Linked DNA regions of Mytilus edulis. The protein of the gene in region 3 binds, or shares a complex with, the protein of the main gene of each other region. Links are inferred from orthologs where the notes say so. Each region holds a gene or a part of one and is shown on either strand. Other genes may lie near its edges. The genes, in order: serine/threonine-protein phosphatase 4 regulatory subunit 1-like, serine/threonine-protein phosphatase 4 regulatory subunit 2-A-like and serine/threonine-protein phosphatase 4 regulatory subunit 4-like.

The links.
Region 1: serine/threonine-protein phosphatase 4 regulatory subunit 4-like (region 3) and serine/threonine-protein phosphatase 4 regulatory subunit 1-like share a complex: the UniProt entries of both Homo sapiens proteins name them as parts of the PP4 complex. The link is inferred for Mytilus edulis from reciprocal best matches to the Homo sapiens genes PPP4R4 and PPP4R1.
Region 2: serine/threonine-protein phosphatase 4 regulatory subunit 4-like (region 3) and serine/threonine-protein phosphatase 4 regulatory subunit 2-A-like share a complex: the UniProt entries of both Homo sapiens proteins name them as parts of the PP4 complex. The link is inferred for Mytilus edulis from reciprocal best matches to the Homo sapiens genes PPP4R4 and PPP4R2.

Annotation. Positions count from the first base shown.
Region 1 is NC_092348.1:29,193,173-29,203,375, reverse strand, and holds the start of serine/threonine-protein phosphatase 4 regulatory subunit 1-like, read right to left. Parts: upstream 5,287-10,203; 5' UTR 5,222-5,286; coding exon 5,215-5,221; intron 5,128-5,214; coding exon 5,083-5,127; intron 4,838-5,082; exon of another isoform or gene 4,706-4,837; intron 4,599-4,705; exon of another isoform or gene 4,471-4,598; intron 2,347-4,470; coding exon 2,235-2,346; intron 1,966-2,234; coding exon 1,859-1,965; intron 328-1,858; coding exon 185-327; intron 1-184. UniProt on the Homo sapiens protein: Regulatory subunit of serine/threonine-protein phosphatase 4. May play a role in regulation of cell division in renal glomeruli. The PPP4C-PPP4R1 PP4 complex may play a role in dephosphorylation and regulation of HDAC3.
Region 2 is NC_092344.1:52,045,011-52,055,625, forward strand, and holds the start of serine/threonine-protein phosphatase 4 regulatory subunit 2-A-like, read left to right. Parts: upstream 1-5,743; 5' UTR 5,744-5,860; coding exon 5,861-5,897; intron 5,898-6,031; coding exon 6,032-6,113; intron 6,114-8,049; coding exon 8,050-8,220; intron 8,221-8,859; coding exon 8,860-8,953; intron 8,954-9,846; coding exon 9,847-9,884; intron 9,885-10,615. UniProt on the Homo sapiens protein: Regulatory subunit of serine/threonine-protein phosphatase 4 (PP4). May regulate the activity of PPP4C at centrosomal microtubule organizing centers.
Region 3 is NC_092346.1:31,241,978-31,252,089, forward strand, and holds the start of serine/threonine-protein phosphatase 4 regulatory subunit 4-like, read right to left. Parts: upstream 4,928-10,112; 5' UTR 4,440-4,927; coding exon 4,288-4,439; intron 1-4,287. UniProt on the Homo sapiens protein: Putative regulatory subunit of serine/threonine-protein phosphatase 4.

The DNA.
Region 1 (10,203 bases), on a different chromosome or scaffold from region 3:
CTCCCAAAATCAATCCAAATCTTCCTTTTATGGTCATAAACCTTGTGTTTAAATTTCATAGATTTCTATTCACTTGTACTAAAGTTATAGTGCAAAAACCAAATGTCTTTGAGACGACGATGCCAATGTCATACGACCAAAAAAATTTTGCGGTTGTATAAAATTAAAAAGGAGAAAAACTTACTTGATTGTTTCTGTCATTTAAATATCGCACCACCATTGGTAAAATGTATAAAGATACTGAGTTTGGAAACAAATCCTTATTTTCCTGACAGTACATCGCTAAATGTGGTATCTGTTCCATTAACTCTGACCTAACAATGGGATCTACAAACAAAAACAACAGTATTAAAACACATGATCATCTTTCTTATTTGGTAGACTTTTTAAAAGCTTTCATATTTTTTTAGTGCAAAGTTTAATTAACCCTTTCGCCGATGAGTCCCGGTTTACCGGGATTCACGCTTCAGACAGCTGACGATGAGTCCCGTTTTACCGGGATCGGAATACCTCTTTTATGTTTCCCGCTTAAAACAGTGCAAACATGAGTAATCTTTCTTTGATGGAATACCCGGATGAAAGTGTAAACATGACGCTTCCGTTTGTTGAAAACCGTGTCAAAATCAGAGGAAATTTACGGAATTTACGAGAATTTGAAATGAGGGAACATTTTTTTTGAAAGAATATGGAAGAATTGAAGCCAAACTAGTATACTTTTTTGACATAAAATGTTGCTTTAAGTACAAAACACTTGGGATGGACATCGTTCAGTGTGAGGAATTTGTACAGCCTCATAAAAAATTTCAAAATTTTGCCGTTTTGGGTTAAAAAATTACGATTTGGGGTCAAAGAGCAGAATTTTGAAATTTCACCTAGAAAATGCCGAAAATTTGAAAATTTGAATATTTTAAGAAGAAAAAATTATTAAAACATGAATAAAACTGTGAACATGGTGTTAGTGAATGAAATAAATACGCAAATAACTACAAACAAGTTTTTATTGACATCTATTATGAAGATCTCCCACTTGAGTAATAGTAGCCAGGGAAGCCATCGTCTCAGAGTAGCTTCTGTCTGGGCAGCAATCGGTGAAAGGGTTAAGTTGAACAATTTCTTAAACAGAATATGCTGGGAAAAATAAATCAAAATATTTCAGCATCTGATGTAAGAAGTAAACAACAAAATCTTAAAATTGTTTGAACAAAGGCCAAAAAAAAATATATGTCTGTTTCCTACTGCCAAGGTAAATAAATCAGGGATGGTAGGTCGGGGTTTTTTTTTGTTTTAATTATTTGTTTTTTCTTTTTTGCACTCCCTGCAGTTGGTTCAATGTCATGTTTGGTTGGGTTCCTGTACCCAAAAGTATGCAAATCTCTATTTAGAAGCTTTAATTGACTTCTCCTCCTAGTGCCAACATTTTTAAACCTTAATTGTAGCACATTTGTGCTGGGAGCAGCAACTTTTATTGTTTGGGCATAGTATGATACGGATCAGAAACGATTTTTTTCCGGAATTAAAAAAAAATCTAGGGTCGGTCAGAAGCAAGAAACAGACATATATTTTTTTTGCCTAACCCCTTTTACCTTCTTTTTTTATTTATTCATTTTTCTCAAATCACTAGATATCTTAAAGCCTATTCAATTACTTGATTCAGATTTAAATGTTTAAAACTTTTTCCAGACGATTTTGATTCAATACATTGTGGATTTTACATTCTAGCAACAATAATGTTTAAAACATCAGAGTAATGTACATAAAATGTCACATTCAGTGTATGATTTATTCATTCTAAAAGATAGCTAAATGAATATGAGAATAAGCTCATTTTGCATGGTTTCTTATTTTACAAATAACATACCTGAATCTTCCGATAATTTCACCATAGCTTCCAAAACAGGTGTGCAATCTTCTTCCTCATCTTCCACTGCTCGAATTGTATCCAACATACCACGAGCAACCATTTGTCTACAGAACAAAAATGCACTTATTTTTTAACATGAAATCTTCAGTTCTGCTATTTCTGTATACAACCAATTTAATTGAAATCTAATAATTGTTCACGAACCCACTTAAGGACACTCAATAGAAAAATGTTTGTTAAATAAGATTACAAGAAAAATACATGTCCTTCAGATTACAAAACACAATAAACTTTGCAGTCCAAAGGTTTATATAGAAATCGTGTAAAAAAAGTAACTTTTCTTTTGCATCAATATTTGTAACAACCGACTAACCTTGTGTAGACATTGTCACTTTGCATGTATTTCTCCAATTTTTGTAGAGGTGAAAGTTTATCATCTGTGTTGTAATTATCTTCCCCATCCAAATCATCATCGAGTCCAAAACCTAGAATATAGATTATAATTTCAAATGGCATGGCTTAATATCCCATGTCTGCAGTCTTCATTTCACAATGGTCACAAGAATAAATTGGCAGAGAGATAGTAGGGCTTTTAAGGTGCCTCTATTAAAATTTGTTTGTGCTCAATGGTTAATTTTGTGTGTCAAATATTTTCCAAAAAATCTATGATAACCCATAAACTTAAGTGTTCTAAGGGCCTTTTAGCGTCATATTTATGCGATTCTTTAACATTTTTTCCCCTCTTTATTATAAATAGCGTTACGGATACAAGGCTTTAATTTCTAGAAACTCTTTTAACATTTCAAAATTGACTGTTTACCATGATGAAATAAGATATTTCAAAGGAACACTGACCCTAGCATGTCAATTTTACCAATTTTTTCCCCTCTTTATTATAAATAGCGTTACGGATACAAGGCTTTAATTTCTAGAAACTCTTTTAACATTTCAAAATTGACTGTTTACCATGATGAAATAAGATATTTCAAAGGAACACTGACCCTAGCATGTCAATTTTATTATGAAGACTTGTTGCAGCAATTATAAATTATATTTTATCCCATGGTAATGTCAGAATTTTGTTAATAAAAACAAATCAAAGTCATAATTATTTGGCACTAGATCCAAATACAAACTCTTCCATACAACAAATATAGTACTTTGCACTTCTATGTACATTTCAGTTTGATCACTTACAACAATAGCATTTGTATCGAGGTTGCTTTTCTTTTATTCACTTGAATTTCAAACGTTTTTCAGGAGTATTAGGAGTTTACAAGTATGGCTGCAGTGCTTTACATGTAATTATTGTTGAATTTGAGCTTGATATTTAAAATTGTAATACATTTTTAGACCATCTGGATTAAGTGTAATGTAATCAAGATCAGGATTCACCTCTATTTACCCTCTTGCTGCCAACCTTTCTTCAAGGTTGCATTTCATATTCCGGAAAATATGACAGCCTGACGTCTGTGACATAACATGCCAAACAACAACATCATTCAATATATGACGCCACAACATAATGACCGTTACATTTGGGACCCATTGGAGAAAAACATAACACTGTTTAATCTTCGGTCTTTTAATTGAAAGAGATACTGCATTGATGAGAAGCTTGCATAAATTGAACCATGGACATATGTGTTCCTCTGGCAGAAAGAGGGTTGAGTCACCCTTCTTTTAGTTCCAAGAAATGAACTCACTAGTACTTGTGTTAATTTAGTAAACAATTATCAATGGGAGAAATCAAGCACAAGGGAGGTTATAATCTTTGTTCTATACACTTCAGGAAATTCAAGTCTGATTTTTCTGCCCTTAAATAACAAGGAGCTGAATTAAAATTGCAATGAAAAAAACCCATACCATTAAAGAAATTGGAATGAGTCGACAAATGTAAAAAGAGTTCAAAGAAGAAAACTTGCAGCCTGATTTACGTTGAAAAAAATGAATTAATACAAATACATGTATGATATACAGCAACAAACAACCACTAAATTACAGGCTCCTGACTCGGAACATTCAAACATAGAATTTGTGTGGTGGGGGTTGACATGTTAGGGGGGCAGCCAAACTTCCACAACCTTGGTACAGTTCAGTGGTGTATTTGTACTATGTAGTCTTCCAAAAATATGTCGACATCACAAGAAAACACACTATTTTCAAATAAATTTTGGAAAACAATAACTTTAACAGTAATTTAACTGAGGGCATGTTTGGGAAGAGAAAGAAATACTTAGGTACTGTCTGTATATTTCAGGTACATGTATGTGTATTGGAATAATTTTTAATTTCAACCAACAAAATGTCAAGCCATGTTAATTAATTTTAGTACACAATAGCAATTTACACAACACAAACAAAAACCAACAAGTAACATCAACATCATGTCAAATATAGACAATTTTTCGACATTGAGTACTCTGGATTTCGTCTAAACAAAATTGCCTTGCAAGCGTGCTTTGCACAAATTTCCACTTTATAAAATGCTTCCTGTACATTGGAAAAATGGCAACAATGGAAATTTCTTTGTTCATGAAACTATCCAAGTCCGACATATAGTTCTTTTAAACTTTGAAAAAAAAAATCTTTTTAAAAACAAAACTTACTTTCTGGTCAAAATTTAACCAAAAAATTTTGGCGCGCTCTCGCTACCCTCCATTACGATAAATTTTGGCAACAGATTTCACTGGAAGCGTGACCTATTTACCATTATTCAACAAGAATGACGCACTGCATTGTCATTACTCATTCATGACTAAGCCATTAAGTTTAATAGCAATTTCAATTAGCAATATAGCACTCGATTGTTTTCCAGGTAGCTAAAATAATTAAAATACTTACGGAGCCTTCACAAACACGCCACCAAATTCAAATGGGAATCGTGCGCGGGAACTTGGGTCATGGGGTTAGGGGGAAACCCAGATCACGTGATCACAATCATGGCATCATTGATTCTACAAATCTTGGCGTCATGTTTGAATTTACGAATTAAACTACACGTGTCGTGTCAAAACAAATACATAAAACGAAATTTTGCATTATATATTTTGTAAGGAATATTATTTCATACATCGGACATACTGATAAAGCCCTCAAAATGTTGAACACTGAAAGTGGACGCGAAAGGATATCATAATCTCAGAACTTGGGACATTTTGTCATCTCCGTGCTCTGCAGTGATAAACAATGACAAAAATGTGGATGTAAACATAACTTACCTTCTTCACCGTTATCGTCTCCTATTCCACCATAAAAGTCAATATCTGAAAAATAATATTATTACTTCAGTAAAGGCGGAAAAGTTTAAATTTCGTAAATAGAACAGGGTTTATTAAATGAGGTGGACTCACCCGCCATGTTGAAAGGAGCACGCTACTTTGTAAAACTATCGCTGATTGGTCGATGACTGTAAAATTCTTCTGATTGATTGGTTAGGGAATTTTTTGTTGTTCGGATGATTCCGATGTCCGTCGTAAACGTGTTCGGTAATATATGTGCATGAATGGCGAACTACATTCACAATTTGATTATCATTTTATATGGAATTATACACGTTTTTGGGTACAGATTATCGTGAATATTGTCCTTGGAGTCTTTCATAACTACATATAATGGATTGAAACATAATTGTTTAAACGTTTATCTGAATAATAAAATGAAAACAAAGGACTTTGGCATTGTGTGTGATTAGGCAGTCAGTGCCCGATAAGCTTCCGCACTTGAAATTAGGGCTTATTTCCATCAATTGATTTATGCATGGAAAGATGAATTGACAGATATAATTTCGTCCATTTCGACTAAACTATGACAATTTCCATTCGTATAAAACGTTTGAAATGTATTTTAAAAGCACAATATATAATTCATTAATTTTCTTAATATGGGGCCCCAATAAGGGTGTATTGGTTCCCAACATTCTATTCTTTATTATTTGCCTGATCTTAACTTTTTTTTTCTCGGTGTCACGTATCTTTTTTCAACGCAGGACTTTTAATTGGACCGTTTTTATATTGTTTCGGCCTAAGTAAATCAATTCTTATAAAACTTGGCCTGAGTTGAAAAATATGTTTGTGTTGTCATATTTTCGTTGTCCGAAATTATATGAGGCACTCAACAAATCCATAAATCCAGTTAACTTTATGAAGACAAATGACCATAATTGTATGCATAAGATCATTCATGCACCAAATATATAAAAGTATGATATATACACCATACGCCCTCATTTTCATTTGCCGATCGAGATTTAAAAAAACCAGAATATAGCTAAAAAGTGACTAGCAACGCTCGGCAATTTTTTTTTAATTTGGACATTATATTGCGGCATAAGTGTAAAAAAATCCTTGTCTATATAATGGAATTTTATAAGACTGTCATACAAGTGAGAGGTTTAGTAACTTTAAAACCAGATTTAATTAACCATGTAACTTTTGTTCTACAATAGAAAATGCACGTACAAAATCGCCGGGGGAAATGACTGCTGTTATCCACTCGTTTGATGGGTTTGAGCTTTTGTTTTTGCTATTTGATGAGCGAATTTCCGTTTTGAATTTTCATAGGAGTTCGGTATTTTAATTAATTCACTTTTTGGTACCTAACATTTATACAATTATAATCGTTAAATCTTGATATATATTACGAGAACAAAGAAATGACATAAGATAGATTGATCCTATATATACCTTACAATATGACATTATATGACCCAAGTGCCTGTGCACAAAGCAATAAAATGTGCACAGATAATATATGAACGGATCAAATTCAATATAGGTCTATCTATATTTTCCTGCATGTTTTGTGCATGCTGTCACTATGTCTATGATGAATTACGACAAGAGAATAAAAATTGAATCTAGTCCTCTACTACATTAAATGCTGAATGTTAACTTCACTGAATACGGTATTAGCTCGGTATGAATAGGAACCAAGGAAGTATACATATGTTAGTTTTCAATCTTTGCTATTAACCTCCACCGTTCTATCAATAGTATATAAAATGATGTGCCGAATTTTGTAACAGTTCTATTCTACGAAACGCGACGGTTATAATAGTAACTAAGATTAGATATTTGTCTTTACGAAAATTGGTTTAAATAAGTATTTAGTTCTAGTATTCCCTGAGAACAGTTTCCAAATAAGATACTTGCTTCTTCGCATATTTCGATATTTCAAATGGGAGACGAGGCAAAATGAAAAACTGAGCAGTCACACGTGTTATTTCTTCCCGTTACCATCCTTTGGCTTGAACGTTTCTGTTGAATCTATTTGGACACACCAAAATTTTAAAGCTTTGTTCTTATTTTCTAGCGCTGGGTCGATACCGCTGCGTATTCATGGCAGTATTCACGGTGTTCAGGTACCAACAAAATTTATAACAAACCTTTCTTAAATTCTCTTTTTATAAATTTCAATATTATTAAAAAACCAAGGTTCAGATTTGATCATTCTTTGAAGTCCATAAAAAGTTTTGGTCGTATCAGTCATCTAAAATCGTCATTAATGTAGTTTATTTTGAAGATATCTGGGTATGATATATTCAAATTCAAATATCTTTATTCCTAAACAAAGGGCCCACAAGGATATAAATAAACACAAATCACAAAGTTCTTACAATATCCACACAAACAGCACATGCAATCTTACATACATACTGATTGTTAATTATTGAATATGATTGAAAATAAATATGGAAACATGATTATTAAAATATTTACATGATTGGGGAGGCCCGTACAAAGAGGAATAACTCTATTTGTTTATCTTAACTTTTTTCTTTTTTCCCTGTCTGATCTGGAAATTTGCATTTAGGTACAAACTAAAATCTGCATTAAAAACTTAATCTTTTTTATTTGTCTGGACAAAAAGAGATAACTTCACCATTCTCACATTTCAGTTGGTTTTATCTGAGACTAGTACTGTACCAGGTTTGATTAAGCAGAGAGTTATATAATATGTAATATATATGTAGGACTCAAATCTATGGTGGGTTCCAGATCTATGGCAGTTTCCTAATATATGGTAAATATGACGTCATGCTATCCCAAAACTATGGCAAATTTTTTAAAATCATAATCTATGGCCAGTTTTGTAAAATCCTAATCTATTGCGGATGTTTGTTGTTTCCAAAACTATGGCAGATTTTGTGCAAATGTACCAACTAGGCAGTACATATATACAATCAACGACTTGTCTTGAATAAGTTGAAATGTACGACAACGGGAGTATGTCTATAATCATTTGTGAAATAAAAATTACATAATGGCCAACCAAATATATGGATTTTTTAATGAATTCCGATTTTCTGTTATATCTGATATTTTAAAACAACTATCTTCATTAGTAATTTAAAACCATCAAAATGTATTCGCTGAAGAGAGCTTAAGGTTGATAAAATTTGTATATTTATAATTGAGAGCATTAGAAGATAGCTTTCTACAGATTTCAAGAAGGGGAAAATCTAATAAAACATGCCTTTCGTCTTCTACTTTTTTGCTTAAATGAGTTGTGTTTGCTGCCTCTAATATCTGAAATTAGGTACTAGTAACTGCTTGATTAACAGAAAAAGACGGACAAAGACAGATTGATTAATAAGATTGAGAATGGAAATGGGGAATGTGTCAAAGAGACGTACAGCAACCCGACCACAGAGCAGACATCAGCCGAAGGCCACCAATGGGTCTTCAATCGGCGACGAGAAACTTCATGAGGAGTCCTTCAGCTGGCCCCTAAACAAATATATATACTATTATACTAAACTCCGAATTATACAGAAGAAACTAAAATAAAAAATCATATAAGACTAACACTGGCCAGAGGCTCCTGACTAGGGACAGGCGCAAAAATGCGGCCGGGTTAAATATGTTTTTGAGATCTCAACCCTTATATATAATGCTCTATTCAGGACGGTAGCAGATCCATTTGATATGAAGATATCATGCTTTGTACTACACTGACACGTTAAGTTTGATTTTAACTGCTTGATCAGAAGAAATGTATCATTTTCAGTTCCATTATCATTATTCAGACCCTGAGACTAGTATATATTTTTTTTACGCATTTGATTTAAACAGTACAGGACCATTCCAAACTAGTCCATTTTCTAAACCATAGGTTTTAAATATTATCATAATTCAGTGCTACAATTTTTGCTTTCATTATTATAAGGTCCACTAGAAAGTTGCACGTGGAGCAAGCCATTTTTCTAATTGAATGAATAAACAGTTTGTTTGGTAATGATACTTATAAATACAATTATTGTTTAAGAAATAATTCATGGGGGCTTGAATATATCGTGATTTTACCACGGGTTGGCCCTTTATGACAAATATTTTACCCCTGAGCGATAGCGAGGGGTAAAATATCGGCATAAAGGGACAACCCGTGGTAAAATCTAGATATATTCAAGCCCCCATGAATTATTTCGATTCTGATAGGACACATACGGCAATTCTTTTGGATCGAAGCGCTCTAGGTGTAGGCAAATATTTGCCGTTCCCATAAATAAACGCACTAATAAACTATAGCGTAAAAGAACGGAGCAAACTGCATTAGTGACATGCTTAAACTATTTAAAATAATGTATTTAGACAGTTTTGGATGAATTTGAATGATAATTTATTTATATGTCTTATATGATGTACAATAAAGGGCTTTTGCCACATTTTAGCATCATTTGTGTATGTTTCCTTGTGATGAATTTCGGATTCACAAGCGTGTATTTTCCCGTAAAATGCTTACATTCTAACGTCATTGTTCTATGACGTCGGGTATCTCATTCACAAAAAAGCATATGACGTGGGAGTACAATCGGAACAGCACTGGCAATATATTCATATTTTACCACGGGTGTGTACTCAAAGCGTTTGAAGGACGTCATGTTAGAATACCATATCTAGTTGTCATTATCCAAAATATACACATTGTCAGTATATACTAAACTAACAATTGATAGTAAATCGTAAACAACTTTTGTTTCTAGTATATTTATGTAAGAATGACACAGAAAAACATAAATATAATTGAAATTAAAGGAGAAAAAAAAACGGATTTTTGAGAAAACAAAAAGGGTAAATGAAACATTTAAGCAAAGTTACAGCCTCTAGTTTTGACAGTACGTCTACTCATAAAGGCTTTGTCGACTGCGGTTTGAAAATTTCACTGGTGTACATCTCTTATTTGTTTTATTCCTTTTTAATTGTTTTGGAAGATGATAAAAACAATTGAGATCTACAGAAAAAGAGGAAACTGAAAAATATGAAGAAGGAATAACATCAGCAACTCTAAATATGGATTTCAGTGTAACTACTAAGAGATTCTAATAGTGCATCTCACTTATC
Region 2 (10,615 bases), on a different chromosome or scaffold from region 3:
AGTTTATCCCTATCTATAATAGTATTCAAGATAATAACCAAAAAGTGAGCTAAAAATTAAAACAACACATTATAAATTCTATGCTCCTAATTATCTGGATTTAGGTTTGAACCTTCATCATAAACGTATAAACGTATAAACACTAAAATTAATATGCTTTAAAGCTTTTTATGAACAGTCTGAGTCATTTTGAGCAAAGGTAAGAAGCTAAAAACACTAAAGTAAACATACGCCTATTTAAAGTATTAGAAGTGTTGGTCGCACATTTTTTCTTAAATTTATCAGATTAGGACAAATTCCATCATCGGTCAGCAGTATTATATACTTGGTGTGTAGAAGCTAAGAGAACATGACCACTGGAAGTATGTTGCACTTTAAAATTCTTTGAATGAATGGGACAACTTGTTTTACTTACACCTGTTCCAGGTAGAGGAATCATGAAAGTCAACATGCCTCTTTGCTTCAATCTCAGTAAATATTTCAGTAGCAGATATCTTAATATTGTCTTCTAAATATATAAGTCAATGCAAATTACCTTAATATTGTTTGACCAAATATTTTGGTTCTACACGAGTTGTCCCGCCGTGATACAGGTAAAACGGGGTTCACTAATTAGCGACAAGAAGCGTCAAGAAGCGACAAGAAGCAACAAATAGATTATACATGCTATTTAAGATCCAGCATGATCTTATAGATATAGACCGTCACCAATATTTGACCCCGAATGATAACCGGACCAGAGGTAAAAACCGCTTCTTCCAAGAAAGAACAAGTACAGACACCTACGGCCAATCTTTCTTCCCGAGGACAATCAGGGACTGGAACAACCTACCAACATCAGTTACAGCGACCAACACCGTTGAGGGATTCAGAGCACAGGGACTCGGTTAGCAGATTAAAATTGTGCTCATCAATGTTTTTTATATTTTTTTTTAGTATATCCTGTCTATTTGTATTACTTTATTAACATTTTTTGACGATGCCATCGATATTTCTTTGTTTTCTAGCAATGTTTGTATTAAAGAGCATAAAAATGAAAATAAAAACAAAGATTTTTCACCTTTCCTTTGAAGGAGTTATTGAAACAAAAACATGAAATATTATTTCCTTTCTAACTGTATAATTAATTTTTCCTGATAGGACCAACGTTAGCTGTGGCTTCACCCCAAGGTAATACACAATGTAGAACATCAAATGAGATTAACGAGGCGCGTGTCTCTTGCCGTTTAATTGCTACAATAACATCCAATTAACACCTTCAACTTTGTACACGCGTCAGACTATACAATTACACGCGCTAGAATATACAATCATTGTAAACAGTGAACACCTGTTGAATTAATATTGTCATTAATTTCCTTTAATCTTCAATCAATATGCATAAACATGATAAATATCGTTAAATGAGGCAATACACTAAATAAAATTATGAAAAATATTCACATTTTAATTATGTTTTCGTCTTGTTTGATTTCAGTTCTTTGTATTTCACAATTTGTGTCTGCATTTTCAAGACAATGATGCACAAATAAATCATTTTGCAAGCTTAATATTACAGGGGCGTAGCTACCCGGAGGCACGACAGCACGTGCATCCACGTCGTTTTCAAAAAAAAAGCAGAAGAGAGAGAGATGACTGAGTTGGTCAATCGGAATCGGAGACTGTTGGTGTCTTTTCCGTCTATCCCGGATATTAGTTTGACAACCTAGTTACAAGTGTTGATGAAGCTGTTCATTCAGAAAAAGGTCGTAGCTCCGAAGTTGCGTGCACATTGATTCGGCATGCAAAACAAGAAATGACAAAATAAAAATTTATAAATTGAATGTTAAGGCAGCAACCATTTGATTTTCTGGGGGGGGCTATGGTTTTTTTTGGAAAAAAAAGTTTGTTTCCAGTTTTTGGAGAAAAAAATAATTTGTTTTTGATTCTGAGAAAAAAAAAATTGTTTGTTTCACCCTCAGCTGCCACTATATGTAACGCTAAAATTGAAAGAAAAAAATTGTTTTCGACTTGTCGCGAAAAAAATAGATTGTTTTTCGCCACAGGCGAAAAAAAAAGTTTGCACAGAAAAAAAAACCATAGCCCCCCCCAGAAAATCAAATGGTTGCTGCCTAAAGGAAACACCTATGTTGTCACTTTTTTTTAATTGATGAAATATCATTAAATAACGACATTTGGTTTCAAAATATTATTTTTTTGGAGATTATGACAAAATCGGAAGGTTACTTGTATCTTTTACAAGATTTTTACTTTTGAATTTGTAATACTCAGTCTAAGCAGAGACATATACTAATTGTATTATATGTCTCTGGTCTAAGATATGTAGTTTTGGAGCACATTTTACAGTGTACAGTTCATCAGTTTGGAATGAGATGTACCAATCGGCATTAGAATTATCAGATCCCTTCGATATCGTTGAAAATATAACCGGAAGAAAAGTGATTTCAGGAACTTTTACTATAATTTGCAAAGTGCTTTTTTAGGAACTCTCGTTTGAATTGAATATGTATATGAACTCTCGTTTTGAATAGTTATATGAACTCTCGTTTCGAATAGTTATATGAACTCTCGTTTTAAATTGATTATTTCTCGTTTTAGTTTTAAGTTGAATATTTCTTGTTTTAAATGTTTCTTTATTCTTAAATATAATGTTTCTTTATTTCATATACCCAAAGAGATTAATTATAGATTTACTATTTTACAACTTAATCCGATGGCTAGTGCGAAACTTACACTCAACTTCAAAAGAAGCAATTATCGTTATTTTGCTAAGTTGAGCCGGAGGACAATAATCCTATTATTATTACATAACATTGGACAATTATATTTACAAAATGTATATTTTATGAGAACCTTTTATAATGTTTTAATACCCTTATCTTTGACTTAATTTATGTTTTGTAAACTGTTGCTGGGACAGTCTTCCCCTAGCTTTCGAACTGTACACTTGTGTTAATAAATTTGTATATATTTTTATACGGTCTTGCGTTTAAAGCAGCCATAGTGTCGATTATAGACCTACAGACTTTAATGTAACCCGTGCCGAAGTTCACGGACTTATGCCGGAATTTCACGGGGTTATAAAAATATGCCGAGGCGATGTGGTTGACAGACTACCGGAGCCAATCACCCTGTAACCACGCCAAAACAGTATTGGAAAGTCTCATTATTTTTTGCGTTCATAGACCATATGATAAGGCAACTGAAGAGTGGAGTCGCGCCAAGTTATCAGAAAATCGCTTCTTTGTGCTGTATCTGCTTCATCGCGTTGTAGGAAATATCACAAACGAACAAATCTCAATATTGTCAGAAACATACGAAACTGACGAATTCAATTGGGAGATCGTTCGATGCCGAACACGTACGCTGGTTTATAACATCTCGCGAGTGCTACCATGCCATGATGGCCCTGAGATCTATCAGTCACGGTACTACGCATGTAATTGAAAACAAATGTACGATCAACAATGAACAACGAAAGTTACATAGCATTACTGCATATTCATGGAATTCAGTGTGAATGTTGACAAAGTAATAAAGAAGCTTGTTTCTGCCCAGACCCGAAGATCAGATTTTGGACAATTTTGAGTAAATTCTGTATCACAAATATGTGTTGTTTATGTATTACTATATTCAGAAGATTTATTAATAGCTTCACATTCATAATTTTTTATCTACACATAGCTCCTCTTTTAACCGTCCTATGACCGAAAACTGAAAAAAAATTCTGCATAATAGGGTCCCAATTTTTTTTCTCACAGTTTGTGTAACTGGTACTTTAAAATTATAAACGCTATATTGAAATGGAAACTGTCGAAAAGCAGGGCCGTAACTACATTGTGGCAAATGAGGCAAATGCCTCATGTTGAAAACTTCAAAAAAAAAAATGAAACAAAAAAATTGTCTTCATATCAAATTGTGTTCACGGAAAGTGTCTTGCAAAAAAGAAAGTTCTCTTCACTCTCTGCTGTCGTCCCTGCATGTTTTTCGTGATCCATATTTCTATTTTACTTTTAGTTTTGTTTTCAGAGTTGATGGTCTATTGTTTGTTATTATGTGTCCCGGGTTTGTCTTTTGTTCATTTATTGTCCTACTTTGTGACGATAGTCTGAGGGTTAATTTCCATTTGTAAACGTGTGGTTTTGCAATGTTGCATGTTAACCGATGTCCAGACATTGTGCGACAAAAATATTTTAAGAATATACGATGCTACTGGACACAGAAAAAACTGGTCGTTTCTGCATGGGGCATTGAACTTGATATCAAAGAATACAAAACTGACTCTTTTTGTAGATAAAACTAAACAGCTGACATGGATTAAATTAAAGTAAGACGACCAATTCATCGGTATCAAATCATCTATAAAAAAAAACATCACTGTATAGCTATATGACCTTTTACATTGAAGGATTAAACTTGCATTAAGTCTTGTTAACAGAAAATAAAGGAATATGGAGAAAACGTACACGGGAACTAATCTCACACAAAGTCAATGCATAGAAAAAATACAAATGACCAATGTTCAAAGTTTTTATTCCTGTTCTTCATCTTGGTAGTAGACGGAGGGTCTTCAACAATAAAAGAATCATTAATACCGTAAAACAAGGTCAAGATGGTTCTTAGTGTCGACTTAGGCAGTACTAGTACTTAAAGTATATTACTGCACTGTCACTATGTTTAAATCTAGTCATTATAAAATCACCAAAGTCTAAGCACAATACAAAACAAGAACAGACAGACAGACCCGGTTTTTATTTCATGAGACTTACGATTTTTGCTTTATCCTACACATCGGTCTGTTAATGATGTTGTCTCCGTAAAACCTAAAAGTCCCAAATTACAATGAATCTACGTTTTTGCTTTGAGACCAGCATATTGTCGGAGAAAAATGGCTAAAATATTAATTGCGTTTCAATGTTAGAAAGAGTCTGGGAAACGCTCAGAATGCATGATTTTGCGTTATTTTTCTCAAAGCTTCTGGGGGTCCTAAGCGGTCCCCAGAACCCCCCCCCCCCCCTCCCCAGACCCCTCGCCGAAAAAAATTCGCCTCGCTACGCTCAGCATATATATTTTGCCTCACTATTAACAGAGGCTAGTTACGGCCCTGAAAAGTGATAGAATATTTCTCTTCGTGAACATTTAGTGACTTTTTTACCTGTTTTGGGGGGTTGTCTCTTATGTCAATATACATGGTAAACAGATTTTCACGTTTTCAATGATATTTGGATTTTTGATATTTTCAAATTTTGTTCGCATCGCTCCGCTCGGCGGTAGTAGCTAACACATCGTTTCGTTCTAAAACACAAGGAAAAGTAATCTCATAATACAACAGCCTTTTCAGGGTAAACGTAATGCTAGCTGTTATACATAATAAATGATAAATACCATGTAAATAAATGTTTCAATTTTTTTTCATCAATATTTACCTTTCTTGTCGCTAGAATTGTTTTCTTTTGCATATTCTTTTAATATTTATTTGGAAAAAGTAATTTTAATTAAAAAAATATGTTTTCTTGTCGCTTCTTGTCGCTAAAATAATTCTTCTTGTCGCGTCTTGACGCTTTTTGTCGCTTAAATTCTTCTTGTCGCTAATTAGTGAGACCTAGGTAAAAGGGAAATCCTAAAATTGAAATTAGGGGGTTTAATTATTTCCTTACGCCTACCATGGCAGTAATATAGTTTAAGCAACACGTTTCCTAGGTTTAAATTTTTATTCAAAATGCATTCAGTGCAATTTTAAAGCAAATTTATTGTAATATTGAATTATCGGAAATGAACTTACCTATCACCCCCAAAGAATGAAATAAGTTGCGCCATAACGTCATTTCCGTGCCGCCATTTGTTGACCTCCAGTTTGAGAATGGAAAACAAAGAGGATATTTTAGACGCTTTGAACGGTAATATATCACAAATTAATGACTAAAGATAAGCAATGACAAGTGTAGTATTGAACTACACGATAGTACTCTGTTTTGAATTTGATTCCTTAAAAAAAGACGTGAATTTAATAGTACTTTATTTTTTCTTTCAGAATTTGAGAAGAAACCATGCACAGAAATCCCTCCATTGTTAGACCAGTATCTGCATCAAGTTGCAAAAACAGGAAAAACTTTGTATGTTTTATTATAAGATTGACCTAGGTTATATGTCGTACTGTAGTCAATATATGCATACTTCATTTGACAATTGAAGCCCCCCACCCCATGGCAAATTATCTCAAGATTAAATAAAGTTATCAAATCATTTAATTGACATAATGTCAATTAAATGATTTGATACCTTACCTTGGCTTTAAAATTAGTTTTTAGAAAACCTGAGTTTTGGTTTGAATAACTGACCAAATCATAGGCTAAAGGAGAACAAATAACTATGGCGTAGGAAGGTGTCAATGAAAAAGTAAAATATTAATGCCTCTCAAGACGCTTTCGAGACGTTTGACCACAAACCAATCCAGCTAAACACCACTTGGGCATTGATCATTTCAGTTCGTTAAGAAGTCTCAGACCCGGTTGTGATGTCACTGCAGATCTGAGAAGTGTTTATAGTCATCATTTTGTAACATAACTTCATCTTTATAAAAAATCTAAATTTGATGTCATATCCTTGCTCTACATGTATTTATTGATAGGGACAGAAATAATGAATTGTATACATGTACATGTAGCAACAAACTTTCATCTTCTCACCGTTTGACTCGCCATAGCCAAACAAGATGAGGCCGTGGACTCACCATCAAAATTCCTTTAATAGTGAGAACCCTGATTAACCCTTTCACCGATAGCTGCCCAGACTGAAGCTACTCTGAGACGATGGCTTCCCTGGCTACTATTACTTAACCCTTTCCTCCATAGTGACACCTTTTGACGCCACCCCCTTTACTCCATAATGACGCCTGTGTAGTACCTCTGTTGAAACGCTTTGACTACAAAGTGTCTGCAGTTGACTTAATAAAATTTGTATCCAATATGAAAAGGAATAACATAGGAATATCTGACTTAAATTTATTTGAAGAAATATTTGTTTTTCGCAATGCATTAATACTTTAAAGTATATGTTCAGCATTTTATTAAAAAAATCCTATGCGAATCAAGTATGCAAAAAAAAAATTTCAATGGAGGAAAGAGTTAAGTTGGAGATCTTCATATTAAATGTCAATAAAAACTTGTTTGTAGTTATTTGTGTATTTATTTTTTTCACTAACACTATGTTCACAGTTTTGTTCATGTTTTGATAATTTTTCTTCATAAAATATTCAAATTTTCAAATTTTCGGCATTATCTAGGTGAAATTATCAAAATTCTGCTCTTTGACCCCAAGTTGTAATTTTTTAACCCAAAACGGCAAAATTTTGAAAAATTTTACTAGGCTGTACAAATTCCTCACACTGAACGATGTCCATTCCAAGTGTTTCGTACATAAAACAACATTTTATGTCCAAAAAGTATACTAGTTTGGCTTCAATTCTTCCATATTCTTTCAAAAAAAATGTTCCCTCATTTCAAATTCTCGTAAATTCAGTAAATTTCCTCTGATTTTGACACAGTTTTCAACATGTAGAAGCGCCATGTTTACACTTTCATCCGGATATTTATCAAAGAAAGATAACTCATGTTAGCACTGTTTTGAGCGGGAAATATAAAAGAGGTATTCCGATTCCCGGTAAAACGGGACTCATCGTCAGCTGTCTGAAGCGTGAATCCCGGTAAACCGGTACTCATCGGCGAAAGGGTTAGGATACAAATATATTATTTTTTTTGTTTTAACAGAAACAACTCAAATTTAAACTAAGTTTTCTAGTGCCCATATATCCGCGATCGGAACCTGCACTATGTAACATACAGACAAGACTGAAATCATAAAGATGCTTGATCATTTTATTGACAACACAGTTTGGTACTTTTAATTTTAAACTGTGGAAGATTAATAACTTCCATTGTCCTCAGTTTGAATGCACATATAGTTGAAGATTTTTGGAGGTCTATTTTTATATGCAAGAAATTGAAAAAAGTCACATGTACATGTATAATTTTATAATACTTATTTTTTCAGATTTCCATGGCATCAGCTGAAAAAGTTATTTGTGGCAAAAGTTGATCTAGTCATGACACAGTTCAAGGAGACCAGTCCAACAGACTTATTGCAGACAACACCAAATATTGAGCCAGTAAAATATGACGAAATGAGAAGGAGAATCCTGTCCTTAATGGATGAATTTCAAGGGTAAAAAAATCCTAACCTACGATTTTGTCTCATACAAAATTTCTCAGAGATGATTAAACATGAAAATGTCATAAGTTGATTACATGAAACTGAGGTTTGGCTTTATAAGGAATAAATTTGAAGCCATTGTCCTTTGTGTCAAAGGGGAGGTAATCTCCCTTACTTATATATTGAAATATGTGGTAATAATCTCTTTATGATAAAATTGAGGTTTTGCAGAATTTGACATGGTAGTAAGTCAGGACGTTTTGTATTTTAGTCATTTTCATGACTTTACACTTACATGTACAGCTACAACTGAAATATAAGTGAACCACTGACTTCAAAATGAGTCAATTGTTATCTCTTGGTTTCGAAAAAGAAATCAAATGCCTGAAGTGGATGATAATCAATCTGCAGAACACACCCTTTTATAGCTAGAATAGTTCAACATTTTATTAAATATAATGACCCTTTAGAAAAAACCTGAATCAATTGTAATAATTGCCATTTTAACAGAACATCTAAAGGTTCAAATCCTAGAAAAGGTCTATTGTGAGAATACGATACAATGTACCAATATATAAGTAGAGACCAGGGAACTTAATTGGGGATATGTAATTTTGATTTAAGTTATATTATTCTTATTTTTACATTTAGGGCACCATTTACTGTTCAAAGGCTTTGTGAATTAATCAATGAACCAAAAAGGCATTATAAAAGATGTGACAAATTTTTGAGAGGCATTGAAAAGGTAAGACATTTAAGCTCACCTGGTTCTAAGCATTTGTTAGTTACCAGTATATCATCTCCATTTGTCCACATCCATTATACCAAACTTGTTTTCAAAACAAACTTTTCAATTATAATAGTAGTACAGATGAGTTTTTGTGTAAAAAAGTATTAAAATAATTTTCAATTTATTCTTTCAGTCCTGTATGTTCGGATGCAAGTACATTTATAAATGCAAAGATTTCAATATATTTACTTTATCAAATTATTTGACATGTTAGATTTAGAGGACACATCCCCAACCCATGGTTAAATATAAACAAATCTATAGCTGATAAGTATAATTTTGATTCGAATAGGACAAATATAGTAATTTTGCCAACCATGAAAACCCTATAAACACAATACTGTCCTGACTATAATAACAAATAAAATAAAATCACTTTTTTTCACCTTAAAATATTCTTTTTATCTTATTTTAATATTATATTCTGAGGGGAACAGAAGCCTGAAAATAAACATTAGAGATAACAGTATTGTATTTGAAGCTTGGCCTACGTAAAACTCAGTTTTCAATGTGGCAATTTATGTTTACCTGGGCCGAGGCTGGTGGTACACATGATAGACAGATTAGCCAATTTTCTGTATCAATGCATTTGGGCTAAAAGTAGATATTCGGTGATTACACTAGTTGACCATATATATGGGTTATCATATTAGAATTGTTTATTTGTGATCTGATATGTCACTACAAACACACATAAAACCAACTGAAATATGCTTAGCATGCAATTTGTAAAATATAAGTGAAGTTGTAAGCAAATTCTACCTCTGGTTTTTGTGTTACAATAATAGGATTTGCAGTTTAAATTCTTTGACATCTTGAAAATAATTAAATGCACTGTTTTCTTTCAGAATGTGTCAGTGGTGACTACAATAGATCCATTTGGCAGGTAAGTTATATAGTACTTAAATCACTGGAGCATAAATCATAACACTTGATGCAAACCATCACCATGACGAAAGCTATTAGTTCATAGACCAAGTTACACTTTAGACTTATGTTAGTTCTCTTAACAATCACCATGATCACAGAAGCAATCAAACAAATTAAGTATAAATGAACGGTTACTTGTCATATATTAACTTTTATTGTGACTTTGGTGATGGTCAGCCAACCAATAAAGCTTGCAGATGGAATCTAATTTACTTAAGATCCTGTTGAAAAAAATTGGTCAAAAAGAGAAGTAAAAAACTAAGAACCAGTGTAATACCAAAAAAAGTCACTTATATGCCAGACTTTTATAAATAAATTAGCACAACCAGAAAAGAAAAAAAAATATGAATAATATGAGGCAACTACTTTTGAGTATATGAAATACAAGCTTGGCAAGTTAAGTATTGGCAAAACTAAATCTTGTTATTTAAGACTGTGTCTGGCAAACTGGAAAGGAGTAGGTCTGGTAAGGGCCGATTTTGGCCTCAAATTTCAAGTTCATCTGACGAATGATTGTAGACCCTTTTTAAACACTTAAGTGTCTATTTCAGTTGATTCAATAAGTTTATGTAAAAGATTTTAACTAATTTACTCATTAAAAACGCTCTGATTCTAGCTTAAATATGAAAAATATATCAAATATGCCCAAAAATGTCACTTTTCTGTTGGTTTTTGTCAAAAATGAAA
Region 3 (10,112 bases):
TTCATATCAACCAATTTCATGGTTTTGAAACTGTCCTGACAATAACCTCAGAATGACAGAAGCGAATGCGGCATTCATTTAACTAAATCTCACTTAAAAACATCAAAACAATTACTACGTCAGAAGAATCGATTTGCACCGGGTTAATATAAATGACAAAATTATCTAACACTGTTACAAGACGAGGGCATGATCCAAATCAATACCCCAATATCATAATAACATATGTTAGCTCATCAAAATATTTCTTGATATTTCATATCAATTATATTGAATATATGTCTATTGATATCCATGAAAATGCTGAAAATGTCTTAGATAACATCAATTTACCAAGTTAACACAATAAAAATATGAATATTTGGAAGATATATGTAAATGTAATCTCATACAGAATTTGTCAAACAGTGTAACATGCCACAGAATACTTCTTTTCCACCCATATCAAAATTAATAATAAAAACAGAAGGTATACAAAAACTCTTACATAACTTAAATCCAAACAAAGCAGCAGGACCAGATGAAATTAAACCAAGATTTTTAAAAGAACTTTCACATGAAATTGCACCCATACTCACTATTATCTTTGAGAAGTCAATCAAAACAGGCGTTGTTCCAGATGACTGGAAAACTGCCCATGTCTCTCCTGTATACAAAAAAGGCCAAAAATATAACCCTGAAAACTACCGTCCTATATCACTCACATGTATTTGTTGCAAACTTTTAGAACACATCGTAGTAAAACACATCATGAAACATGCAGATAATCACAACATTTTATATCCCCTACAGCATGGATTTCGCAGAAATCGATCCTGCGAAACACAACTATTAGAATTTATAGACGATGTCTCACTAAACATGGAAAATGGTAAACAAACAGATATTTTGGTCATGGATTTTTCTAAAGCATTCGATAAAGTTTCACATTCTTTTTTAACTAATAAGCTTCATCATTACGGGATACAGGGGGAATTAAATTACTGGATACAAAATTTTCTTAGCAATCGCAAACAGGCAGTAGTTCTAGAGGGGGAAAAATCTGAGTATGTTGCAGTTGAGTCAGGGGTTCCACAGGGGTCAGTTCTTGGACCAAGTCTTTTCTTGTTCTATATTAATGACATTCCATCTGGTCTAACATCTACAGTACGTTTATTTGCAGACGACACAATAGTTTATTTGGCAATAAAATCAAACTCCGATGCATTAACACTACAAAAAGATCTTGACAAACTGGCATCGTGGGAAACTACCTGGAAAATGGCATTCCACCCAGATAAGTGTAATGTAATTTCAGTCACCAGAAATAAAAAACCAATCACATTTAACTACACATTACACAATCATTCTTTAGAACATGTAACAACAGCAAAATATCTGGGGGTCACCATCAGTTCAAACCTTAAATGGGATGTGCATATTAACAACATATGCAAGAAAGCTAATAGCACACTAGGCTTTCTAAAGAGGAACCTGAACATAAGTTCAACATCCATTAAAGAGCAAGCATATAAGTCCCTAGTAAGACCATCACTAGAGTATGCTTGCTCTGTTTGGGATCCATACTTACAACAAGACATAGATAGCATTGAAAAAGTTCAAAGGAGGGCTGCGCGTTTTGTTACCAACAAATACAGAAACACCTCAAGCGTTGGTAACATGTTACAACATCTTGAATGGCGCAGTCTCTCTGACAGAAGAAAAGACTCCAGATTGGTAATGCTCTACAAAATTGAACACGAAAAGGTTGCAATCCCTAAACAAAATAAATTAATTCCACAAAAAAGACAAACAAGACATACAAATTCGAACAGCTTCCAAATTCCATCCTGCAAAACACAGTACAGAAAAGAGTCATATTTTCCAAGAACTATCACCGACTGGAACAAACTACCGGACAACATTGTAAATTGCACTTCAGTCGACTCTTTCAAATCTTCAATTTCAAAGCATCAATATTAACTCAATTACAACATCTTACTTTATTATACAAAACATTTTAAATTTTTAATTTTTCCTATTTTTTAAAAATTGTACATTTTTCCAATCTATGTCTTGTTGTAAGTTTCCTCCTGTGACATAATCTTCAATTTGTTGAAGGCGGTCACTATATGGTAGAAAAAAAATGATTCTATATTTAGCTATCATTCCACTAATTTTCCATGTTTAACATTCAAACCTTACATTGATGCGAAACTTTAGAAACAGAATAATTGATTTATTAATTTTCATTTTTTTCTTATCTAGTTTCCAATATGGCATCTGGTCTAGTTTCTAAACAATCGATTTTAGATAGTAAAAAACACCAAATTTCATTAGCAAATGATGCTCTAATACTACAAAAGGAAAAAATTCAAAATTTCAAAGATTCATTTTACATTTTTGTTTAAGTGCTGGGTTAAATTTCATGGAGTGACAGGAAATAAAAAACAAAACTTAATGTTCAGCAAAATAAATGAGCAATATAAATTGTGATGGAGTTAATGTCATTTGTTTTAATAAACCATGCAATATATAGAATATCTCTTTACCATAAACATTGTTTTGACTTGAAACTATTCTGATTAATACATTGCATATTGAATTAACAATCAACTTAAAAGTTTGTTTTGTCTCTCTGCTTTCTATCATCAGCCCACATAAACCCAAACAACATGACAGAAAATTATCAAAATAAAAACAGAACATGTAAAAATTGTCTCTCTTGCAACAACTACAAAAGTTTTCTTCATTTCATTATGTTTAAATCTAAATAAAAGCAGCAAATCTTGTTATTCAATAAGAATGGCTGATGGATGAGCCTGAGAAATACTTTAAGACATCCAATCAACAAATAGTTGCTTGTTTTCCTGATGTAAACTTGAAGAGTTATTTAAAGATTTGTTTCTCATTATTATGTTACATGTATGATGTAAATTTAAAGGAAATTTACCCTTCCTGTTTTCTAACTACTAACACCTGTCACTTAAATTTTTTAATGTGGTTAGCCTAGCTGATGTAATATACTTTTAACTTGGTTCATTAGTCATATAAAAAATAAAGTACTTTGTACAAATACATGAAACTGGTATCACCATGTGCGGAGCAATTTTCTACATAAACATAAAAAACATATACTGTCTTAAATGACTTTAAATTTTAGCTCTTCGCAAGTTTATAGAAAGTTTTTTAAGGAACCAGAATTCAAAAATGAACTGATCCATCATTCTTATGAAAAAAAAATCATTATTAAAGAGAGGAACACTTGTTTAATAACAATTATAGAACAAGGACTTGTCGATCAAAATACAATGCCATTGAATCTATGGAGTCCCCCAAGAAATGTGTCATAAAATTGGATTTATTTGAATCTGGAAACTGTTCATGTTTTTTTTTCTTTTAATTTAAAATTAAGCAATGGATTCTAGATCTAGATCTATGTTTTATATGTATCAGATGTTTTGACAAAATCAAGGAAGCAATTTATCTTTCCTGTACACACACATGTACTGGTTAATGTACAAACCTGTCAGATAAATGAAGATATAGATCAATCTATTAAATCAATGATGGATTTAGCAAGGACCCAGTACTAATTGAACAGACAGTACCCCCCCCCCCCCCCCCCCCCCCCCCCAGGATAAGGATAGAATCTTCAAAGTACATGTATACCCAACCTTTAGTTGTATTACAAACCTAGAAGGAAATTTGGTTGATTTTCTTTACAATTTTAGCAAGAAATATGTTTTTGTTAATCCTGAAGACCCTAAAATCTGAATTTTCTAAGTCTATTGTAATAATTTATCTACTTAGAAGATAAACTCCATATGCGAAAATTTTCTACAAAAATGTATACCTACATGACACACATGTATAAACTTATTTTTAAGAACATTTAAGCAGAAACATTTTAAAAGTTTTATTTAAGAGTAATTGTGTTGGTGCTTTTGACTATCCTGATCTATTTACAACAACAATATAAACTCAAATATCAAACTCAATATGGGGCATGTTTGAATATATAATGTTATGGTGTGACTGTCCTAAATATGTTATTGATCCAAACATGCAATTGACCCTGAAAAAAACAAAACAACTACAACAGGTATATGTCTGTTTCAGAATGCACCAAAATAAAATTTGAGCCCTACCTTCTTTCAAAACTAATTACAACTTTTAACCTTTTAAACATGGTGCTAAATTACCCATATCAAATTGACTTCAAACTTTTAAAATATAATTTTTCCACACTAATTATTAAAAGGAAATTTTAATTGCAGGATCATGTACCAACAAAACAATACATACTCTTCAATTGTGTAGTAACTTTCATATCCCATTTCTTCATCAAGATCCTCGATATCCTCTTCTGGAATTTCTAAATAATCGTGGTCTAAGAAAAGTTTAACATTTTCTCCTGTACTAGATAACTTTGTAGAGAAAACTTCGATTTCTTCCATAACAATCAAGTAATTAAAGTGTCAATATATTTTACAATCCAACAAGAAATTACACTAATAACTCTCATTTTTCCTGATTATATATCCAGATGAACACAACGAATACACAGAAATTCATCTAATAATTTAATATATCCCTTGATAAGTAATGACAATTGGTATCGTAATCAGACTAGTGATGTAATTCCTAGCTACTCATTCACATAGCGAGAGAATGTTTGTGTCACTGGCCCCATACATATATACCAACAGGGGAAAAAAATGATATTGTGTTTCCGTGGAAACAGGAAATGAATCAGAAAAACTGTTATATACACAGATTATGTACTTAAACATATAAACAGATTATCCACAATGCACCACCACAAAGAACAGACTTGTGTGATCAATTTAAGAGCTAAATCTTTACATTCAAGTGGTAAGTCGATCACTTTCCCAAAAACTGATGTACTTTATCAAGCCTTACACATTTGGTTAACAATCAACATTTTCAGATTCACTGATATCAAAAATGATCAGAAATTATCACAACCAGTTAATGGACTTTTTGTCTTAATATAATAATAAACTATTAAAAGCTATATGTTATTAATATGAGCAATTATCTGCTGTGTATCAAATTACATTTTTCATTCATTATCCTAAATGTCAATACATTAAAATGTTTGCCATCTGTTACTAGTTCAACTCAAATTTCCAATGCATTTGAAATTTGGTATCACTTTTCAGTGTCATTTGAACATTTCTAGGCTGACACTCTTTTTCTATAGATAGAATATTGTATCTTCTAGCTGAAGGTTATTTCCTTATAGTGTGAAGGAAAAATCAATGCTTATATGCAAAGATGAAATTTTTCACACAAGTTTCAATTTTTGTTGTTATATCAAGGACAGGCAGATTATGACAGACTTAATTTTATTTTTGAGTCTCCAATGGATTTATTTAACACAAATTGAACCTAAATGAAGTGTTATTCCAAGCCAGTCAATGCTAACTAAAAAATTGAAAATATATAAAATTATATTTTTTTTACGTATTTATTTAAATTACACATCGTAAAAAAAAAAAAAAAATTTCTAATTACAATTTTAGCGGATGTTCACAACCCAATAGGTCAAATTCCACTCTATTTCTGTAAACAATTGCAAATTCCTCTCTCTATAATTATGTAATGGATTATTCATGTGACCTTAGTTATATGTTACATGTATTGTAATATACGCACCTTGTGACCACCTGTAACTTCAAACAAGATCAAAACAAAATGTTAAATTTACCAATAAGTAATTTGTCAATTAAAATTTTTAAAAAAGAATTAATATTATATAATTAAGAACCATTTTGCAAATAAATTCTATAGAAAATAATTATCTCAGTGCATGGGAGACAACTCTAACATCTTGATTGGAAAGATATATATATGTATATGTCAAATTAATTATAATCAAGAGATAACGACTGTCATTTTAATCTGACAAAAAGGATGGGTCAGTGACTAACTTGAAGTGTCATCTCTTTTAACATACCTTGTGTAATATATGGTTTTATGAAGCTGTCAAATATTTGTGATAGAGTTAGACCTGTTCAAATGAATATTTGTATAAGCATAAGTAGGTAGATAAAATGTTTATTAAAATAAAATTAGAGTCAACACCTAATTATAGATTTACAAAGCTCTGTCAATATTAAGGTGTATAAAAGTTAAGAGCTGTTAATGTCCCACAAGTAATAACAGCCTGACATTAATACAAAGGAAAACCTTCTTGATTCTTGACCGAGTCAACATCTTTTATAGAAAATTATAATGAAAATTGTTTGTACAGGTTCAATTGAATGTGTAAAGACAGGGACCCAATTCAATTTTCGTTTGATGAAGATTAATTTCAGGCTGGAATTTCAATTTCAAATTTCTCATCTTAAATTTCACAACTGAAAGGTTGGAGAATCAATCCATGGGACCGCATAATAAATCAAAAGTATTTAAATCATATTATGCAGAGCTCATGAACATACACACACCATGATAAAAAGTAAAATAACCTATACTTTTAGGTCATATCAATCAATTTAGCACTTTTTGTGTTGACTATAATAATGCTTTATATTCTTGTAACAGGATCTGTTAAAATCATGCAGACTCTTAACAATAACTCCTTTTAAAAGATCATCAAAGATTAAACATGGCATATAATTGTGTATGCTATACACATGTTTCCTCTACAAAAGATTCATCAGTGATGCTGGTATCAAAAAGGTTAAAAGGCATTGGCTCTCTCTCTCTCTCTCTCAAGGATTTTATTTTAGTTGTTTTAATGCCACTTTTAAGCACCCTTTCTGGCTATTTCATGGCGGTCAGTTTGATGTGAAGATATGTTTGAGTTTCAGAAAGTTTTAAGTCAAAACAAGTTAAATTGGTTATTTTTTTTTAACTATTTTTTCTTTCTTTGTCAAGAAGTATATCTGAGATCTCCCAAAAATATGTTTAACCCTAAAGCATTTTTGAGCCTGTCTCGTCAATTGAGATTGTTATACTGTTATAAATTCTATTTATATCTTCATATGCTCAAAGGGTCCAGTAACAGATTGTAGGTAAAAGGATAAAGTCCCCAAAAAATAAAAGATCTGATGAATACTAATTGGATTTTCACCACAAGAAGATTACCATAGCTACTGTTTTTAGCAAAACCTTTCAGAATTCGGGTCCCTACTGATCTTGAACTTCTTATTTTATTTGGCTTTTTTTTTCTAGAGGAAACGCAAATCTAGCTGCTCCTGTAAACAAAACTTTGACTGATATCTGTGTGTATTTATTTATTGATCTTTTTAAGATTATTGCCTCTTTCAGCACTTAAGACTAACAGTTTTTTTTTGGTGGAGGAAGGCTGATTGGTGGGAAAGAACCACAACCTTGCTTTGTCAGGGAAACAAAAGTAACATAACATTTTCAATTCACGGGAGGAACATGCAGGTAAAAAATTTCCACTTACCAGACTGAGATCATACTATTCAACATGTGACTTTCAAAATTATCGAAGAATTTATTTCTCACACCCAAGATTCTGTTCAGACTCTTTAATCTATAGTTATGGCCCTTCGGTATACATGCAAAACACTAGGACTCATAGAAATTTATTAACACCTTTACGAGTCCAAATTATATAACTTGGTACTTAACCGAGATAATTTTATTAGTTTTGAGTTCATTACATTTTCTAAACACTATAAAAATATCCTCATAAAGGCATTCGATGTTTAGTTAGGGAAACCATATTGATTCTAACAATTAGGTGGGTAATTAAGGAAGTTGTGAAAAGCACCAACATTGTGATATCCTGTCTCGGACAAAGAAAATTACCCAGAAATCAATGCTGAAACTGATACTCCATACCAATTATAATCTGTTTCATCAACAAAACTCAAATTAACTCAGAACTGAGAGGTCAACTTTAACTAATTTGTACTGGAACGTTTAACAGCAGTGATAATGCAATGTTAAACTTATTCTGTTGAAAGTTGTTAACTTCTACATTTCTACATGGATTACCGAAAGATTTCTTAAAATAAAATGATGGCTATTCATATTTCAGCAATTAATTAAAGGTGCAAATGAAGAACTTAAGCTTTCACAAAGTTCATAGGGTTTTCCACATGGCCTTAGGGCATTATAGTGCTATCATAAAATTATATTTTTTTTCCTTGGTGTTTAATGAATTTCTTAGGTAACAGTGCTTTTCAGATATATATACCAGTCATATTTGAAAATACTGGTGAGAACAATTTCATGTATTTTAACAATAAATAAAATAATCAACTTTTTCTTAAATCAGAATACAACAGAATGGTTTGGGAACTCATTGTTGAAGAAAAGTAAGATCACCCTTGAAGTATTATTTGTTTTATTTTGTGTTGTTTACGGCTGTCTAAATGAAATCGATCTCACATCCTGTTTTATTTAAATCTGACCAGTTGCAAACATTTACAGTCATGAACAAATAAGGTTTGAGAATTATGCTTCTGATCCAGAGAAGGAAATTTGAATGGCCCCAAAAGACCATTGCATCTAAAATAAGAGCTGGGATAGTAATTTTTTCCATAATATTGCTTTATCATAAAGCACTAGGCTACCAAAAATGTAAACTGGGCTACCAGTGTCAGACTACCACCAGTTAATTCTAATTTCCTTTCCTGTGATCAACAACACACAAATTAAACTACCTATATTATAATAAATCTTTGACAGCCATTTTTTCTCCGTGAGAGCACAAGTATAAAAGGGACTATAAATGTCATGTATTTTAGGATTTTGTGATGAGCAACCCCAACTGTTAATCAAATATAAATATAATATTTTGAATGTACAGATTATGGTAATAGCTATGTTTATAATATATTCGTGTATTTTGCCAAATAGCGGTACAATAGAACACAAAAGGAAAATGAACGGTATTTCACACCATACTAAATCTTTATTCTACAACAACCTCAGAAAATAAAAGTATATAACGCTTTCAAATGCAATTTATTTACCTTTAAAAGCTTATTTTCATTTCAATTGATGACGGCCAACCCTCCTTTATATGTTTTTAAATCAAATCTCATCATTTCTCGATTTTCTGTTATTTTTAACACTATAGCTCAGCTAGACTAAACAGTTAACTTTCATTACTTTTGAAGACATACAATTAGCTTTTATGATTCTCTATTGGAAATTTCTTCTCACTTTTTTCCATAGCCTTGTTCACAATTATTTTTTTATAATTACATAACTAAATGCCCCATTCCTTGTTGATTAGAATATTCTTAAAATAAATTTCATAATTATACCCTTTGAGGAACTTTATTATAAAAGAAAGTAAAATGGTACTGTAAATAGAATACATACGGGGGTATTTTTTAGTTTGAATAAAAAGAGAGATGTTGGGTACATTTTTACATGTCTACATGACAGCAACCCAATGGCATATGTTGATCGCAAAATGAAATCATACATATTTCTCCCTGCGTTGAAGACCCATTAGTGGCCTTCGGCTGTTGTCTGCTCTATGGTCAGGTTGACAATACAGTTGTTGTCTCTTTGACACATTCCCCATTTCCATTCTCAATTTTATATAACTACAAGTGTTTCAACAACATAATTTTTTTAAGAGATTCACATTTTGTCATGTCAGGGCCTTTTGATAAGTTTTGTTTATTGTTGAAGGTGACCTATATTTATTGACATCTTAGTCCATTGATCTCTGATAGATAGCTACATAAAATTTAGAGTTGAAATGGTCAATGTGACAAAGAGACAAACATGAGACATGTAAATAGTTACATTATTCAATCATACCTTCTTTTATATCAAACTTTAGGATATTTGATTTTCAAGTTTTGTTCATACAAGAACAGACAGTGACTATGATGAACATACATGTACATGTTCACATTAATATAAGCCTTGGCATCTTTGACAATTTTTTTTCACGTAAAATGTGCATTCTTAAATCAGATAAGGTATGAAATGTGATCATACATCATGTTTATGAATAGAATTTGAATACACATCTTATTTTACTGACATTAACATTGTGTGTTTGAGTGATTTTGTTTAAATAACATACAACGTACATTTAATCCTCTATCTATAGTTTACACATGCCTAAACAGTGGGTAAAATGGACTAATCAGGCA